3 linked regions of the Cricetulus griseus genome follow. The protein of the gene in region 2 purifies or fractionates together with the protein of the main gene of each other region. This does not show direct contact. Links are inferred from orthologs where the notes say so. Each region holds a gene or a part of one and is shown on either strand. Other genes may lie near its edges. The genes, in order: Mapk8, Wdr62 and Cep170.

Evidence for each region.
Region 1: the proteins of Wdr62 (region 2) and Mapk8 purify together in Homo sapiens (affinity purification with mass spectrometry; 5 studies listed by BioGRID and IntAct, counting the BioPlex papers as one, with this or other methods). This does not show direct contact. The link is inferred for Cricetulus griseus from reciprocal best matches to the Homo sapiens genes WDR62 and MAPK8.
Region 3: the proteins of Wdr62 (region 2) and Cep170 purify together in Homo sapiens (affinity purification with mass spectrometry; 3 studies listed by BioGRID and IntAct, with this or other methods). This does not show direct contact. The link is inferred for Cricetulus griseus from reciprocal best matches to the Homo sapiens genes WDR62 and CEP170.

What each region holds. Positions count from the first base shown.
Region 1 is NW_023276807.1:185,963,066-185,969,313, forward strand, and holds the start of Mapk8 (mitogen-activated protein kinase 8), read left to right. Parts: upstream 1-2,523; 5' UTR 2,524-2,674; intron 2,675-6,248. UniProt on the Homo sapiens protein: Serine/threonine-protein kinase involved in various processes such as cell proliferation, differentiation, migration, transformation and programmed cell death.
Region 2 is NC_048602.1:5,584,437-5,588,758, forward strand, and holds the end of Wdr62 (WD repeat-containing protein 62), read left to right. Parts: intron 1-96; coding exon 97-211; intron 212-315; coding exon 316-413; coding exon of another isoform or gene 414-445; intron 446-710; coding exon 711-1,391; intron 1,392-1,941; coding exon 1,942-2,087; intron 2,088-2,178; coding exon 2,179-2,442; 3' UTR 2,443-2,524; downstream 2,525-4,322. UniProt on the Homo sapiens protein: Required for cerebral cortical development. Plays a role in neuronal proliferation and migration.
Region 3 is NC_048598.1:17,007,184-17,012,754, forward strand, and holds part of Cep170 (centrosomal protein of 170 kDa), read left to right. Parts: intron 1-812; coding exon 813-871; intron 872-957; coding exon 958-1,117; intron 1,118-2,676; coding exon 2,677-2,811; intron 2,812-5,571.

The sequences.
Region 1 (6,248 bases), on a different chromosome or scaffold from region 2:
TGCCTTCTAACCTCTGATTTCCTGAAGGATCAGTGGCTTTTCATTAGCATCAGAGGGCCTCCGGGCTCATCTCTGAGTCAGGGAGGTGAGACAAATCCTGTCTTATTATAGGCCCCTGGCAATGAAACAGCAGGCACAAGCATTAGTCTTGTTAGGGCCTCAAAATCCCGCCACTCACAAAGACACTTTAACAGGGTGATGTTAGAATCTCCTTTTACTTAATGGCACCAGAAAGAGCAGTTTCAAATTCAACTTCTAATTGAAGTACTTTTGACAAAGGTTGGCTGGCTGGGCTTTGGTGGTGCCCTCCTTTAATACCAGCACTCGGGAGGCAAAGGCAGGAGGAACTCTGTGAGTTCGAGGCCAGCCTGGTCTACAGAGTGAGTTACAGGACAGGCTACAAAGCAATACAGAGAAACCCTGTCTGGAAAAAACAAAACAAAACAAAAAATACAGAAAGTTGACAAAGGTTGGAAATTCACAGGGGTCCCTCTGTCAAGGGTTATTGGCAGAATAAACGCTTGCCCATCTGGTATGAATATCAGTTTGACATCTTAAGGATAAGGAGAAGGGTACCAGGGGACCAGATGGGGGAAGGGACAACAGAGGGTCTTCCCTAAAGTCACCCAAAGGAAAAAGTCAAGGAAAGAACGCTGTCTTCTCTGCCATGGGGGACACACAAATGTCTTGCAGCACCTTTTGAACTATAAATGGCATACATACTCTGGAAGAAAAGAAAGTTTTTACTAAGAATTGTAGGTGGGGAAGAGTTCTATCTTGAAAAATCTAGAAAAGCCTCTTTGCAATAAGAAATCTTTCTTGATATCAGAATGATCATACCATCCATTGCTGAAGACACACCAGGGCCTTCCAATTACACTTGGAATAAAACATTTTCAACAAAAATTTTTCTCAGTCTTCTCATTTTCATTTTGTAACTTCTTTTTCTTTGCTATTCCAAAATAGCTGGTCTGTCCTCAATTCCCTCAGGTTACTCTGCTCTCTCATCATAGGACCTTCATACAACAAGTTAACTCTGACAAAAATTTCTGCCTGGTCAAACCTATTCTCAACTCAGCAGGCACTTCCTTGGAGAAAACATTCCTGGTCTTATGGATATATTGGTTCCTTTCATAGTCTGATGTATCCTTTTAATTTGTATTATACGTTGATACTTTTACGTTTTGTATAATTACTTTCATAACAGAAATTCTCTGTTATGAAAGATCTAATTGCTGCTAGTGCTAGAACACTGCCTTTAAGAGAATGGGCAAGTGATAAAATAGTCACTGGAGAAATAAAGGAAGTATGGAAATAAAGAATTGGTGAGGCGGGTGGAGTGATGAGTCAGTTGTTAAGAGCACTGGGTGCTCTTCTTGAGGACCCAGGTTCAATTCCCAGCACCCTCATGGCAGTTCACCACTATCTGCAACTCCAGCTCCAGTAGTCCTGACACCTTCACATGACAAACATGCAGGCAAAAAACACCAGTGAACATAAAATAAAAATAAATAAATAAATAAATAAATAAATAAAAGAATTGTTGAGAGAGACGAAATGGGGAGAGGATGGATGGATGAATGCTCACATTTGCCTTATGACCACATCACTGCAAACAGAGCATCTCAACGTGTAATTGGAACATAATAATCCAGCTGACTTTATTTGATAAATATTTATATATTTTTGGAAATCATAGGATACCACACAGGAGAGACTGCCCTTTATTCACCACTGTCAAAACACCTATCATGTTCCTTTCCATGTTTTTTTGTATATACTGTGCATGTAATGTATTTTTTATATATGTGTAATCATTCTATGTGTACGTGTTTCTTGCTCCCTTCTCTTATAAGTTACTTTCTCTGGTTGGTAAAAATGCCTTTGAACAAACACATTGTCTTTAAAGGGATAAATATACTCTACTGAATGAATAATAGTAATTTAAATGCCTTTCCATCCATTGTCGGGTGGTTAGGCTGGCCAGTTAATCAGTCCATAGCTAATATTTGCAGGAGACACGAGGCTTTGGAGGTATATCAGGTAATGCAAAGAATCTGGAGCATTTATTTTTTGGGGGGGTAACTTTTTCCAGGGAGCTGGAGAACATTTTCTTATTGGTGGGTGGTAGGCCTTGGAAGAGTGGCTGTCCAAGTAGGATTCTCCGTGGCTCACGTGTGTGCACTGACATGCGTGCCTGACCTTCAAACACTAACGCCCCTCCACAAGCTGGCAGCCCAGCAGGCTTAGGCTATGACTGGTGTTTCGCCGCCACGCGCCGCCACGTGCCGTCGCAGCCCCGCCCCCTGCTGCTCCCGGCCACGCCCCTCACACGCGGCTTTCCCAGTTGCGGCCCGCGGCGACCTCCGCGAGTGCCGCCTGCTCTCCAATGTAGCCACGCCCCCGGTCACTGGGCCACGCCTTCACAATCCGGGCCCCCGGGGCCGCTCCGCCCCCAGGCCGCTCGCAGGCGCGGGGGCGGGGCCCTGCGCGATGACGTGGGCGGGCGTGCGCGTTGACGACCCGCGTCTCTGTTAGTCAGCGGAGCGGCCGAGGCCGGACGTCGCGGCCGGAACGCGGAGCCGCGAGCAGGGCTGAGTAGCGGCCGCGGCCACCGCGGGACGGCGCCGCTCACCGCTACGGGCTTCCCGGTCGCCATTGGCTGCGCTGCCGGGTGAGTGCGCGGGCTCCGCGGCCCGGGCGGCCGCCGCCTTCCCCCGGCCGTGACCCCCTCCGGGAACGCGCGCGGGGCGGGGGCGGCGCGGGAACAATAGCGCGGGCGGCGGGGCAGCGGGGGGCGTGGTCCACTCGGCGCGACCTGGCTTCTCCACTCTGGCCGGTTTCCACGTTGCGCGGGGAGAATGGAGCCGGTGGGCGGCAAGTTCGGAGGTGCTCTCGCGGAGATCGGGCCGACGCGACCGTACATAGGTCTCCCGCACCCACGGGGAGCGTGTTTTGACTGTGGGCGGTTTCTTTGTGCGGACGTGAGTGCCGCGACGCCGTGAAGGGCCGGGTGGCCGCGAGCGCGCCGGCCTGCGGGCCGCGCCTTCAGAGGGGCTCCTGGCGCTGACCTTTTGACTTTCCCCCACCGCTGTCTCTTTGTCTTGTGCCTGGATTCCCAGTCCAGACACGGTAGATCCAAGTCCATTTTAAAGTACCGTAAGGAACACCTTGCATTTTCATTCCCGAAAGTTCCCTATACCACCGGCAATTTAATAACATGTTGACTGCACGGTGTCCAGTAGTTGCTATTTCTACTTCTGAAATCAAGTGGTCTTTTCAGTAGAATTCTGGTCTGTCAGCCTATTGTGTTTTGAGATGAGCATCCGCCAAGTACCTTTTGGTCAGTTAGAACATCTGTTTATTTCATTCATTCATTCAGCAGCTGTTAGTACTGTATCCAGATGGAGAGGATGTGAAGGCCAAGAGAAAGACCCTTACGAATAGGGTACTTTGGAATAGAATAGATGTGCCTTTAAATAAGACTGTTATATAAGTGATATATGTTAAGTAAGGTATTTGCCTCGTTTTATTAGAACTTCTGAAGGTAATGTGATAGGTAATGTGAAGAAGAGCTAGATTTGCTTAAATATACCACCATTATTCTTAAATCTTACCACCACTCCCCTAATTTCTTGTCGTTGTTAATGGTTACCTCAGGCTGTTAGACCTGGGAGGTCAGGTTCTCTGAGTGAACATGTTTACTGCTGTGTATGATGAAAGCAAGCACTCAAAATGGTACTTCGATGCCTATCTTGCATCATTTCTCCAGCACCTAGCATGGAAGTCATACACGTTGAGTTGATTAAAAAAAAAAGTTTATAGAGGAAAATTGGAAGCTTTAAATCCCACCCCCACCCCCGAAGTTTGAGAAGTGTCAAGCATCACTCTCAGTTGGCTGCATCGTAAATTAGTAGAGGATACTACCTGTTAAGATAAAAGAGGGTTTGGGATCACTGTTTTTGTTTTTATGCTTTACTTCCAGGGCATTCACTATTTTAAGACCACCCCTGAATTTTTTGCATATAATTAATAAAGTAGAAAATTGTGTTGTGTGTGTGTGTGGTGGGGGGTCTGTTAAGTATGTGTGTAAAAGTTGAGCATCCATAACTTGAAAGTCGGAGATACTCCAAAATCTGAAACACTTACAGTCCTTTGCAGATAAGGGGCATTCACTTGGTACTTTGTCATCAAAGTTGGGTACTTTGTTCACTTCCAATATTTTAGATAAGGGCTTTTTCCAGCCAGATGTGTGAATGAACCCAGACCTAACAGTGGTGTTTCATTAGGAATCTAACATGATTTCATTTTTCTCCCCTAAAAAAAAAAAATTACTATCTAGGGTGCATGGTGTGTTTTTTGGGGCAGGGGGTACACATACTTCTGTGTGCATGTGGAAGCCAGAGGACAACTTTGTGGGGTTGATTTTCTTTTACCTTTAAGTGGGTTCTAGACATCAAACCCAGATTCCCAGACTTTTAGGGAATGTATCTTTTCCCACTATTATTTCACAAGTTTTTATGATTTCTTTGAGTAGAAAAGCACAACACCCACATGTGTTTTACAGATATTTTATTTCTAATAGTCTAGAGCTGGTTAATGTTTTAGAGTTGCTTACTGGAAAGGTCAGGTTTTAGCTTGTACTTATCTATCTCACAGAGCATATGGGTTTAAAATGCAAAATACTATGAATTTATCCAAGTTTTGGCACGTTTCCACTATTTAAAAAATATTTCTTTTCGATATGAAAAGTCATTCAGATGAACTTATTTACTGTAGAATAAGAATGGAAAAATAAGGAAATTATTCTATTACTCTGAGTGATAGACCTTGGGGCACCAAACTTTTATTGCTTTACCTAGCTAAGTGTATGAGGTTCCAGAAGGGACTCTGGAATTAAGAAATCATTTGAGTGGCTCACACACAGACAGACTCTGCATAAATTCAGTTAGGTTGTCTTCTAAATTCTGTTGTTTAAACAGCTTTCTTGAGATTTAATTCACATAAAGAGTGGCTCTCATAGAGTATTTTTTAGTGGTGTTTAGTCTACTTGCATAATTATGCATTGATCACTACTATACCATTCTGGAGCATCATTGTACCACAAAGAAAACCCCCTTAAAAAAAAAAAAAAAGCAGTCTGGTGTTTGAAAGGAAGAGAGTATGGGTTCTGTTAATAAATAAGTCCCTTTAATGAAAAGGGTACCCTTTAACTGTCGTGGCATATTAGGAAACTGTATATTTCATGCTCCTTTTAATCCTTAGAGAAATTACTTGGAAAGGAAATTTAGTATAAGAGTTAATTGAGCCATATGTGGTGATACATGCCTGTAATCCCAGGACTTGAGAGGCCAAGACAAGATGAGTTTGAGGCCAGTCTGGGCTACAAAAGCTAAAGAATAAATTGTTACCAAAATGAATACAATTAGAATCTTATTTGTTCTATGAATGATATTATGGAAATGGTCTGGAGAAGATACTAGATGGCCAGTGAAACAGTAATTTGTTGTTAATAGCTAGCCATAAACCATCCTAGTGGTAATTGAGGGGTTGCTAAATAGGAGCCAGCTTCTTGTTGCCGTGCTTTGCCTGTCAGGTGACAGATTTGAGTCATCTCCATATTTGAGATGCTTTGCTGCAGGTGTAGAAGTATAATATTAGTCTGATTAAGGTTCCTGTCCTCTAGAAGACTGATAGAGTCAGTAGTATGGACCTTTCTGATTCATGTAGGGCAAGGGAGTCACAACCCTGGAGCTTTACACATGAATCACTTGCCTGTTTGAACTGTGATGCTTGTCTCAGACCCAGTCACTACCTGAACATCCAGGAGCTGTACATTCTTACCCTGATGTGGCTCTCCTGAGCTTTAGGTTTAGAAAAGAGTCGGGATTCAGAATTTACTAAAATGTGACAGGAGTACCGAAGTGAGTCACCCTGTCATAAATTCCTGGAATAAAACAGTCCAGGAATCATACTCATGTTCCTTGTTACTTTGTCATTAGCAAGTATGAGCCTGCTGCAAGTTGTTCATTGGAGTCTTTTTTTTTTTTTTTTTTTTTTTTGGTTTTTCGAGACAGGGTTTCTCTGTGGCTTTGGAGGCTGTCCTGGAACTAGCTCTTGTAGACCAGGCTGGTCTCGAACTCACAGAGATCCACCTGCCTCTGCCTCCTGAGTGCTGGGATTAAAGGCGTGCACCACCACCGCCCAACGTTCATTGGAGTCTTTAAGTGACTAGAAAACTCCAGTCA
Region 2 (4,322 bases):
TAGGGAAGTGAAGGCAAGAGCAGATGGTTTGAGCCGCACTTCACACTTGAGGCACGTGAGATGCGGGCAGGCCTGAGGCTCCATTGGTCTTCCTAGAGCTCTTTCATGGATCAGTGGCAGACATGAAGATCTCAGAGGCTGACCACCATCTCTTCAATCCCCGGCTGAGCATCTCCACCCAGTTTCTCTCACGACTCCAGAAGGCCTCCAGGTAGAAGCCAGTGACCCCCAATTTCCCTTTCCTCAGCCACGCCCCTCCGTGACCCTCGGGTCAGGCTATGTGAACTTCTCTTTTCCACCTGGCTTCTTCCCCAGCTTCCCTCCCCGGCTGCCCCTTCACCTTAGGAAGTCTCCAGAGGTCAAGCCTACAGGACAAGGATGCGGCCAGTCCAGAGCAGGGTCCCTGAGAGCAGGTACTGGCTACATGTCCTCAGATGGGACCAATGTGAGTATTGAGGTCACGCCTAGGACCCAGGGCTGCAAGCCAGGAGGCCTTGTCTTTACCACAGAGCTGGGCTTGGAGGTCCTCTCTGGGCAGAAGGCTGAGGAGCCTCCAGAGGCCTTGTATCTACCAAGTAAATGTCTCCAATCCGAGATGAACAGCCCTGGGTGTCCAGCTGAGCCATGGAATTGTCCGTTCAGATGGTGAAGCATTCCTAGGGCAGGGCTCTGAGACTCGTGTACAAGTGAGCCATCTGCTTCCTTTGCAGCTCCTTCCCTCACAGGCCTGGCCTTCTGTGTCTCTTCCTCCTCGGTGCCACCCACAGACAGGAAGCCTCCAACACCCACATCTGTACCTATCACAGGCCTGGATCAGAGTGTCTGTGCCCCGTCTACATGTTCTTACCTGGAGACGACGACTAGCTCACATGCCAAGATATCACGTAGCATGTCTCTTGGGGACAGTGAGGGCCTTGTGACACCTGAGCCATCCAGGTCACTTCACAAACCCTTATCCATGGGAGAACTGGCTTCCCTGGGCCAGGAACCCCAGGCCATCCCCACCATAGTGACTCTCACTTCTAGCATCGAAGGCCAGGATCCTGCCATGCCTTCCTGGGGCAATCATGAGGCCCGAGCCAGCCTCAAACTGCCCTTATCCAGTGTCTGTGGCCAGCTCCTGTCTTCACCCCCACTGGAGCCACCCATCACATGTGTGTGGTCTCAGGACTCTGTGGATGTCCAGCCTGGTGTGACAGCCACAGTAGCCAGCTTCCCAGCACCCAGCCCTGTAGATGCTAGCACCCCAAGACTCCACAGCTCTGTGTTTCTCCCAAGGACCTCAGCCTCTGGGCCCCTCATCCCTCCTGGCCATCCCAACAGCCTCCAACTTCTAGAGACCAGGTCTAGGGTGCCTAGTAGTACCGCTGCTCTCCTGGAGCCCACCCCTGGTGAGTACTACCATGGGACACGGATAGAGAGAGCCCTAGCCTGTCCCCTGTGCCGCTCGACTCCTCTGCCAAGTAGGACGCTCACCCTAGCCACAAGAGGGACTGTGTTATTCATTCACTCATTCATTCATTCACTCATTCATCCATTCGTTCATTCATTCACATAGTTAATGAGCACATGCTGGGCTTTGTTCTAGGTCCTGGGCACATGAGACATGGTGACAAACAAGAGGACAAACGAGAGAGTTGATTCCTACGCTAGGGGAGATACCCAGACCAAAGTGTCAGACGTATCACAAGGTGATACAAGTTACTGAGAGAAATAAGGCAGGGGGAAAGGGGCGGGGAGAGCAGTGTAGCTTCAATTTTAGGATGGCAACAACATGATTTAAGGAGAAGTTTCTATCCAGCAGAACCCTGTGAGGAAGAGAGGCCTTGGGGACTGAAGAAAGTGGTCCAGGGCCAACAGTCATTAGCCCAGCCACCTGGCCTCTCTCAAGCCATCCAGAAAGTCAAACTATCTTGGTCATTCACTCTTCTCTACCCCCAGATATGCCGGGCAGCCCTGGACACTGTGGGGAGCCTGGGCTCCCAGCTGAGGTCCTGCCCCCAGCACTCCTTGAGCTGGGCAGTATAAGATCAGTCTCGCACAGGCTGCAGGCTGTCTTCCAAGAAGCCCTTGACCTTTACCGAATGGTAAGCTAAGGAGCCCAGGGCAGTGCGGGAGAATGGGCAGGGCTCCCTGGCAGTACTGCATGTCCCCTGACAAGCTTGCCATCCCTTACAGTTGGTCTCCAGCAACCAGCTGGGTGCCGAACAGCAGCAGGCACAGACGGAGCTGGCCTCCGCCTTTCAGTGGATCCACAGCCAGCTGGAAGCCAGCAACTGGATGGCTGCAGCTAACACGGCTCCACCCCAGACACTGCCTAGCCCCGGCCTGCCTTCCTCACCTACACTGTGTCTCCTGGCCAGCCCAAACCTGCAGGCCCTGCTGGAACACTACTCAGAGCTGCTGGTGCAGGCTGTGAAGAGGAAAGCAAGGGGCGACTAAAAGCCGGCAGCCCCTCCACCAAAGCCTCGCTGCTCAGCAGAGATTGATTTTAAAGCAAATAAACTGACTAAATTAAATAGTTTTCTGGAACCTGTCCTGTCTGTAAAGCCCTCCTCAGTGGATGCAGAGAGAGGGGGGGTAAAGGGTCCGCATGGATGAACCAGCCTGGAGACTCGGCTTTGCTTCAGCTCTAGGCCCTGTTCTGTGCACCTGCCAGCAGGGAACATGGGACTAACAGGAATGATGAATGCCAGGCCTGGCATCCCATGTAGCCTGTCCCTAGCATACTGAGCTATTGCAGGGGTCATGTGTGCTCTCTGCCCATTGGAGCCCATCCTTAGGAGGAGCTAGGATTCTATGCTTGTTTGCTTGCTTTTTGTTTTTGTTTTTGTTTTTTTCAAGACAGGGTTTCTCTGTCCTGGAACTCACTCTGTAGACCACGCTGGCCTTGAACTCACAGACATCCCCCTGCCTCTGCCTCCCCAGTGCTGGGATCAAAGTCGTGTGCCACCACCACCCAGTAGGAGCTAGCCTTCCTGACCCTACAGGTGCTTTCAAACCCAGTGGAGCCGCTGGGGTCATCACGGGTCTGACCCTGTCCTCAGTACATACACTCCTGGCTGATGGCCCTAGGCTAAATTCACACTGGATCCGGCGGGGTCTGGGTTGTCATTGTCACATCTGCAGCAGGGGCAGTAGGAGACAAATACCATTGAAGAATCTGCAGCAGCCCCAAGCCACCTAGTTGCTGGGCCCTGTGATGCCTTCATCTGAAAGAACTGTATCCAGCTTCATCCCATGAGCCAACTGCAGACATAGAACCTTCCTAAGAAGGCCACTCCAGACCTCACTCATCCTGTCCCAAGTCCCTGTAAAAAGGAACCCAGCAGAGGGGTCTCCTAAAGGCCAGGGCCATCACCCAGCTCCAACCCATCCACTCTTATAAAGGAAGGCCCCTTGTGGATAGTCACAGTAGCTCTGATTAAGAGGAGAACAGCCAGGCAGTAGTAGCATGGGTCTTTAGTCCCAGCACTCGGGAGGCAGAAGCAGGTGGGTCTCTGTGAGTTCATTGCCAGCCTGGTCTACAGAGCGAGTTCCAGGACAGCCAGGGCTACACACAGAGAAACCCTGTCTCAAAGAAACAGTCTTGTTGGGCTGGAGAGATGGCTCAGAGGTTAAGAGCACTGGCTGCTCTTCCAGAGGTCCTGAGTTCAATTCCCAGCGACCACATGGTGGCTCACAACCCTCTGTAGTGAGATCTGGTGCCCTCTTCTGGCCTGCAGGGATACGTGCAGGCAGAACACTGTACACATTATAAATAAATCTTGGGGGGAAAAAAAAACCAGCCTTGCTGGACCTGAAGGGTAGTGCTGTACAGACAGCAGCTTGACTCTGTCTCCTAGCAACAACGGAGCCAGCTGTGGACATAGGGCCCCTGAGCAGATAGCTCTCCCCCGTTAGTGTGGCAGCCCAGCCTTTGCCACCACTATGGGCCCACACTTGGCTCCCCCGATATCAGGGCAGTTCCTAGGCAGTGAGACATCAACCTACACAAGGGACACCAATCATTATGAAGTCCTGTCGGTGTGACATGGAGCCACTTCAGCCCCATTTCTCAGCCAAGTCAGCTGAAACTCAGAGCCTGCCCAGACCCAACTGCCAAATTACACACCTGTAATTCTGTTAGTCGGCACTTGGGAGGGGGAGACTGGAGAATCAGGAGTTCAAGGCCAGCTTCAGCTACATAAGTTTGACACCAGCCTGGATTGCATCAGCGGAAAAGCAACAAAAAACAGGTTGAAGCATTGGCTCCATGGTTAACTGCTCTTTCGGAAGATGCCAATTTCATTATCAACACCCACACCTGTTCACAAGCACTG
Region 3 (5,571 bases), on a different chromosome or scaffold from region 2:
TGAATTGATCTTTAGTAAGAGGCCTTGTTGTTTTGGCATAATAATGAAAGCCTTCATTATATCTGGCACTTGTTCTCATGTGTATAGAATCATTGTTTTATAATATAATATGACCTTATTGCAGTCCATGGTGGGAAGGGGTGGTATGGTTGCCATATAAACCCTTATTATAGCATTCATTTTCTTTGTACTTACAAAGTGAACCTCATTATTATCAAAGTTGATAAAAATCTGATAATCAGTTCCTTCAGGATTTGCTTTTGGTATTAACTCATGAGACATTTTTACACCTTTATGACTAGGAATCTATAATTTGGTCCTGTCATATTGTTGTTTGTGAAAATAAAAATATTTGTGCTCTAATTATTTGAAGGCTAGTATTGCCTGAGATTATAAATACTTATTAGATTTTTTAAGTTGTTAATATTTTTAAGTGGCAAATTACATATTTTAAATATTTTTTAATATTAAAGGGAGTATTATAGACGCATGCTGCATTCCAGGTACTCAGTGAGCTGCCAGAAGAATCTCAGATTTAAAAAAAAAATCTCAGATTTGAGGATAGCCTAGAGATCTTGTCTGTAAGAAAAATTTCTTTTAAATCTTAGGATGTGGTTCAGCGGTAGAAAACTTGTCTAGCATATGCAAAGTCCTGGATTTAATCCCCAGTACCTGTAGAAATCGATGATAAATAAACATAATAATCCTATATTTACTCTTGAAATAGAACAATCTCCAAATTATATTTGATGACCATATTCAAGCACAGTAACCAAAATTTTGGAGTTATATTCTTCCTTAGCTCTGTTTACATACAAATCTCTTCACTGTAGTTCGAGGAGAAATGAGGGTCCCTGAAGAGGCTCTTAAGGTAAGAGTTTACCCTTGTGGTTGACTATTACTCACTACAGTTGACTCCTTTATCGAAGCTTCCCTTTGATTTTAAATGTTTTATAGCATGAGAAGTTTACCATTCAGCTTCAGTTGTCTCAGAAGTCTTCAGAATCAGAATTACCAAAATCAGCAAGTGCTAAAGGCACAGACTCAAAAGTGGATGCTACTACAGAAGTGCCACACAGAGCCACAGAAGCACTGAAATCTGAGGAGAAATCCATGGGTAAGTGCTTTGTATGCTATGGAGAATGACCTACAATAGCTATATCTATCTTTGTATTCAGAGGGAGGGGAGGAAGAGAGGAAGCACAAAAGGAAAATATCAAGTTGGGTACTCACAGTTGGTTAACTGTGGAAGCACCTTTAAAGCAGTTGGAGTTCCCAGTACAAAGTCCCAGGCAGAATAGACTGTCACTTGATGTGAGGCTTCCAAGTAACCACAGCAACTAACCTACAGAAAGGTAGTATCATCTAATAGGTTGCTCACAACATCCAGTAGTAACTAACTGAGGAAACTGAGGCAGTTAGCTGCAGTTCTCAAATGTAGCTTCCCAGAGCTATGTTTCCAGCTCCTCTCTTCCTCTGTAGACACTTTCATATTATAGGATAAACAACAATAACCTCTGATGGAAATAGTTTACATTTTAGCTGTTTTCAAGGACACCATGTTTTACTTTGGGGCTCTTTTGTTTTTGTCTCCCTCCCTGTCAGAGTTAGGTGGACTAGCTCATCCCCAGACCTTGGAGGACACTTTGAGACAAACTGCTTGGGATCTAAAGTGGGGGATGTGTCTACCTCACTTCCAGAACTAGCTTCTCAATGACCTCAAACAGCACCTGATAGTTTGTCAATAATTATATACATTACAATAACAACACGATTGTTGTCACTATGATATACATTACAATAAGCTAATTCCTTTGGAAATTCTGAATTTATGTTTGGGGTTGAAGAAATTGCATTCTTTGTTCTCAAACATGTGTCTATACCTGCATAAAAATAATTATACTAGTGATCCATCCCAGAGCACATTTCAATATAGCCTGTTTTTCCTAGAAAACATTGACAGAACTATATGTATGTGCAACCAATATCTTAATTATTAAGGAAAGTGATTTCAATATTTGAAGGATATTTAATAGTTTAGCATTTCATATTATCTATGTTTCTCTGAATTACAATTGAAATAAAATGGAAAAATTTAATTACCACCCTCATATCATATAATGCTTACAGTTTTAATAACTACAAAGATGTTTTATATAGATAATCCCTTCATGTAACAAATGTATTAAATTGATAAACAGTATCACAGCTACTAGAACTGAAGATCTGTTAGCACTGAGTACAAATATAGTTACTGTTCAATACTCTTATGTTGTTGTACATGCCAGTATTTGCTTTAGTTTTATCTTTTATGTATTTAGATTTAGTGACATTTCTGGTCAGACTGGTTTCATTATTCTTTTGGTAATTCTAACAAAATTCTTCCACCTAAGATACTTCTGTCTAAGTACTCAAAGATCATTTGTTCCCGGGGCTCAGGTATATATCAGAAGTCCCTAACATGTAATAAAAAGCTGTTGATTATAGCATGTTGCATTACTCAATCATTGCTGATCTTAATTCACTTAATGGTGTCTAGAGCTGCGTAAGGTCATGCTCAAATGTTACGTTACTAAAAGTAAAGTACTTTTAATCAACTAAGTAAATCTAGCACTATGCAAAATATGTTTTCTTGCTTCATCTGCTTTAGAGAGATTTTCCTCCCTTCTCTTTTAGATGTTTCTGCTATGCCCCGTGGTACTCCATTATATGGGCAGCCATCATGGTGGGGAGATGATGAGGTAGATGAACAAAGAGCTTTCAAATCTAATGGCAAGCCTGAAGAAAAAAATCATGAAACTGGGACTTCAGGTAAAAATACTTCAATAGCTATGATATCAAATTCATACTGGGCAAGTATTTATATTCCAAACAAAAGTCAGTCTACTCTGAAAAATGATCTATAACATAACTTGATTTTTTTAAAGGTGATTGTGGCTTTGCTCTTGTAATATATTATGAGTTTAACATAAAATACTAAATATGGTATCCTTATAAAAATCTCATCATATTTTTCCAGCTTATGAAATTGTTAAACAGATTAATGCCACACACTGGACATTTAAGCATTTTAAAATATGCAAATGAATTGATAAAGTAGTAGGGACATGTGAGTTACATGTCTTTACTTGATTCATAATCATATACTACAAAATAAAAAATCTGTTGTATTAAAAAATACAATATGAAATTATAAGTTCTTTAAAGCCCCAGCATGCTTACTTTATTAAGATAGCAATATGATGCAGAGTTCGGCAGCCAAAGTGTAGAAATAGATTCTTATATTATTAACTAAGGAACTTGGGTGGTTAAGTGGTGACCAGTGTCCAGAAAAGTCAAGATTTCCAAGATAAATGGAGATACCAATTGTCGCATAAAGTTGTTGAAAAGACATCAGAACTGAAGGATGGAACAACCAATTTCTTTGTTAACAGCAGATAAGGATCCAAAACTGGAGGAATAAAGTACAGACACCAAAGATCAGTTTTGAAGACATAGTGTGCCACTGAGGCAAGGACAAACCCCATTAGAACTCTTTCAAGGTGTTTTTGACTTCATTTATACAAAGTAAGCAGGACAGTTTTCTTAGCTGGAGAGTTATGAACATTGTGTCTTTTGACACAGTCTAATTACACCAGAGTACAAGTCTTTAAAAAGCTGTCATGATCAAGTAGTACTTAGGATGCCAAATTTGAAAATAGCTTTCCATCACAAATTTGTTTCTTCACCAGTGCTGTTCTTTATATCATTTAATATTATTTAACATGCCTTCTGTTGTAAATGAAAGAATTGCTGTCTGATACTGAGTAGGAAAGGAATGTCTTGGCTCCCATACCTGATTTCTCTCAGGGTTGTTCAGTGCAATAGATAGCATTGTTATCTAGTTTCACCATCTCTGATTTGGTATCCACAGTACATACATACTGATAGAGTTACCCCTCACATTCAAAGCTGCTGCCATCAGTATTCAAAGTTATACAGTTTTGATCACACCCAGAAGTAAAGAACAAAAGTTGTATAAGAAGACCTCCCAGTATTTGGAAGAAGACCTCTCCCAAAATCTTCAGCAGATCTCTCATTAGCTTCTCACAGATTAAAGAAGGTCACCTGCTATTCTAACCAGTCTCTGGCAAACAATGTGAGACTATCATTATCTTGCTCATCTTGAAGCATGATATGGAGTTATTTGTCCCTAAGGCATATAAGCAGTGTCATAGAAGAGTGGTACCAGAAAGTATTGAAGTTCTTTTAGGAAAAAGTTCTTTAGGAAGGAAACTGGACGTCAATCAAGAATGTCTACTTTTTATGGTCTTCATTTTATCTAATATAAAACCTATTTTGTTGTCTTTGTTTTCACTGATGAATCATAATTCAACTTATTGCTGTAAACTTTCCATAGCAAATGTGAACTGATCTTTATTTTAGTTCCACAACAACTAGAGTGATTTTGTCTTGCTTGACAAAATTTTGAACTTTTTGTTCCCTAGTGCACCTGATATCTGTTACTGTTTTAGTGTTCTCTCCCAATGTACCCCCACATAAATTGTGCTAATTCCTGCCTCCTCTTCTCCCACAGTATGTGCATTGTAAATTACTAAATGATACTATACTGCTAGTGAACAATACTGCTTTGGTTAATTGTCTTTGTCTAAAACTTCATCACTGAACTCTAAATTCCTTACTTCAAGTACCATATATTCTAACCTCATTTTGCACTAGAGAGAACTATCTGGTTAGGGGGAGTATAACCAATTAGATGCATTAAAGAACACAGATTAATTTAATTGTTGCAAAATTCAGAAAATAATTGCATGATAGTGGAAATTAAGGAGCCATAAAAATGTAGCATTTGTTCCCTCACACAGTTTTGAAATTCTGACATACATAACTTGTAAAATAAAATGACACATACATATGACTATGATAAAGAGTAGAACCATGACAAATAATGGCAAGCATTCAGTTGCACTTAGTTTGTCTGCTTCTTCCAAATGATTTATATACATTTCATCATGACAATGTCTAAAGGTAGTAGTTACCTTTGTTATTTTTGCCCATTTTATAGATAAAAGAATTGAGACACAGAGTGATACTAACTTACTTACTGAAGAGAGCACTATTCATGAGATTCCAAAAATAGACACATCAAATTCCCATACAGCAGGTGTAGTACATGCTTCATTTACCATTGAATTTGATAACAGTACACCACTGAAAGTAACTCTTTGACAGAATTCACTTCTGACCATCGCCACAAGCCAATGAAGGCTTCTACAGATTAAGACCCTGTCTCACATATAAATAAACAAAGCCAAACTGGGCTACTAAAGACCTATCTCAAAATAAATAAACAAATATATCAGATACATGTATGTGTATACACACACACACACACACACACACACACACACACACATATATATATATATATATATATGTATCTGTTAATATTGTCCAGTTTAGGCATACAAATTCAGTTCTAGCTTAGTTACTAAATTGCTCTTTAAATTAATTATAAAATATTAGTATAAACAATACTATCCCATGTAGTTTAATTTGGTTTAAATAAAA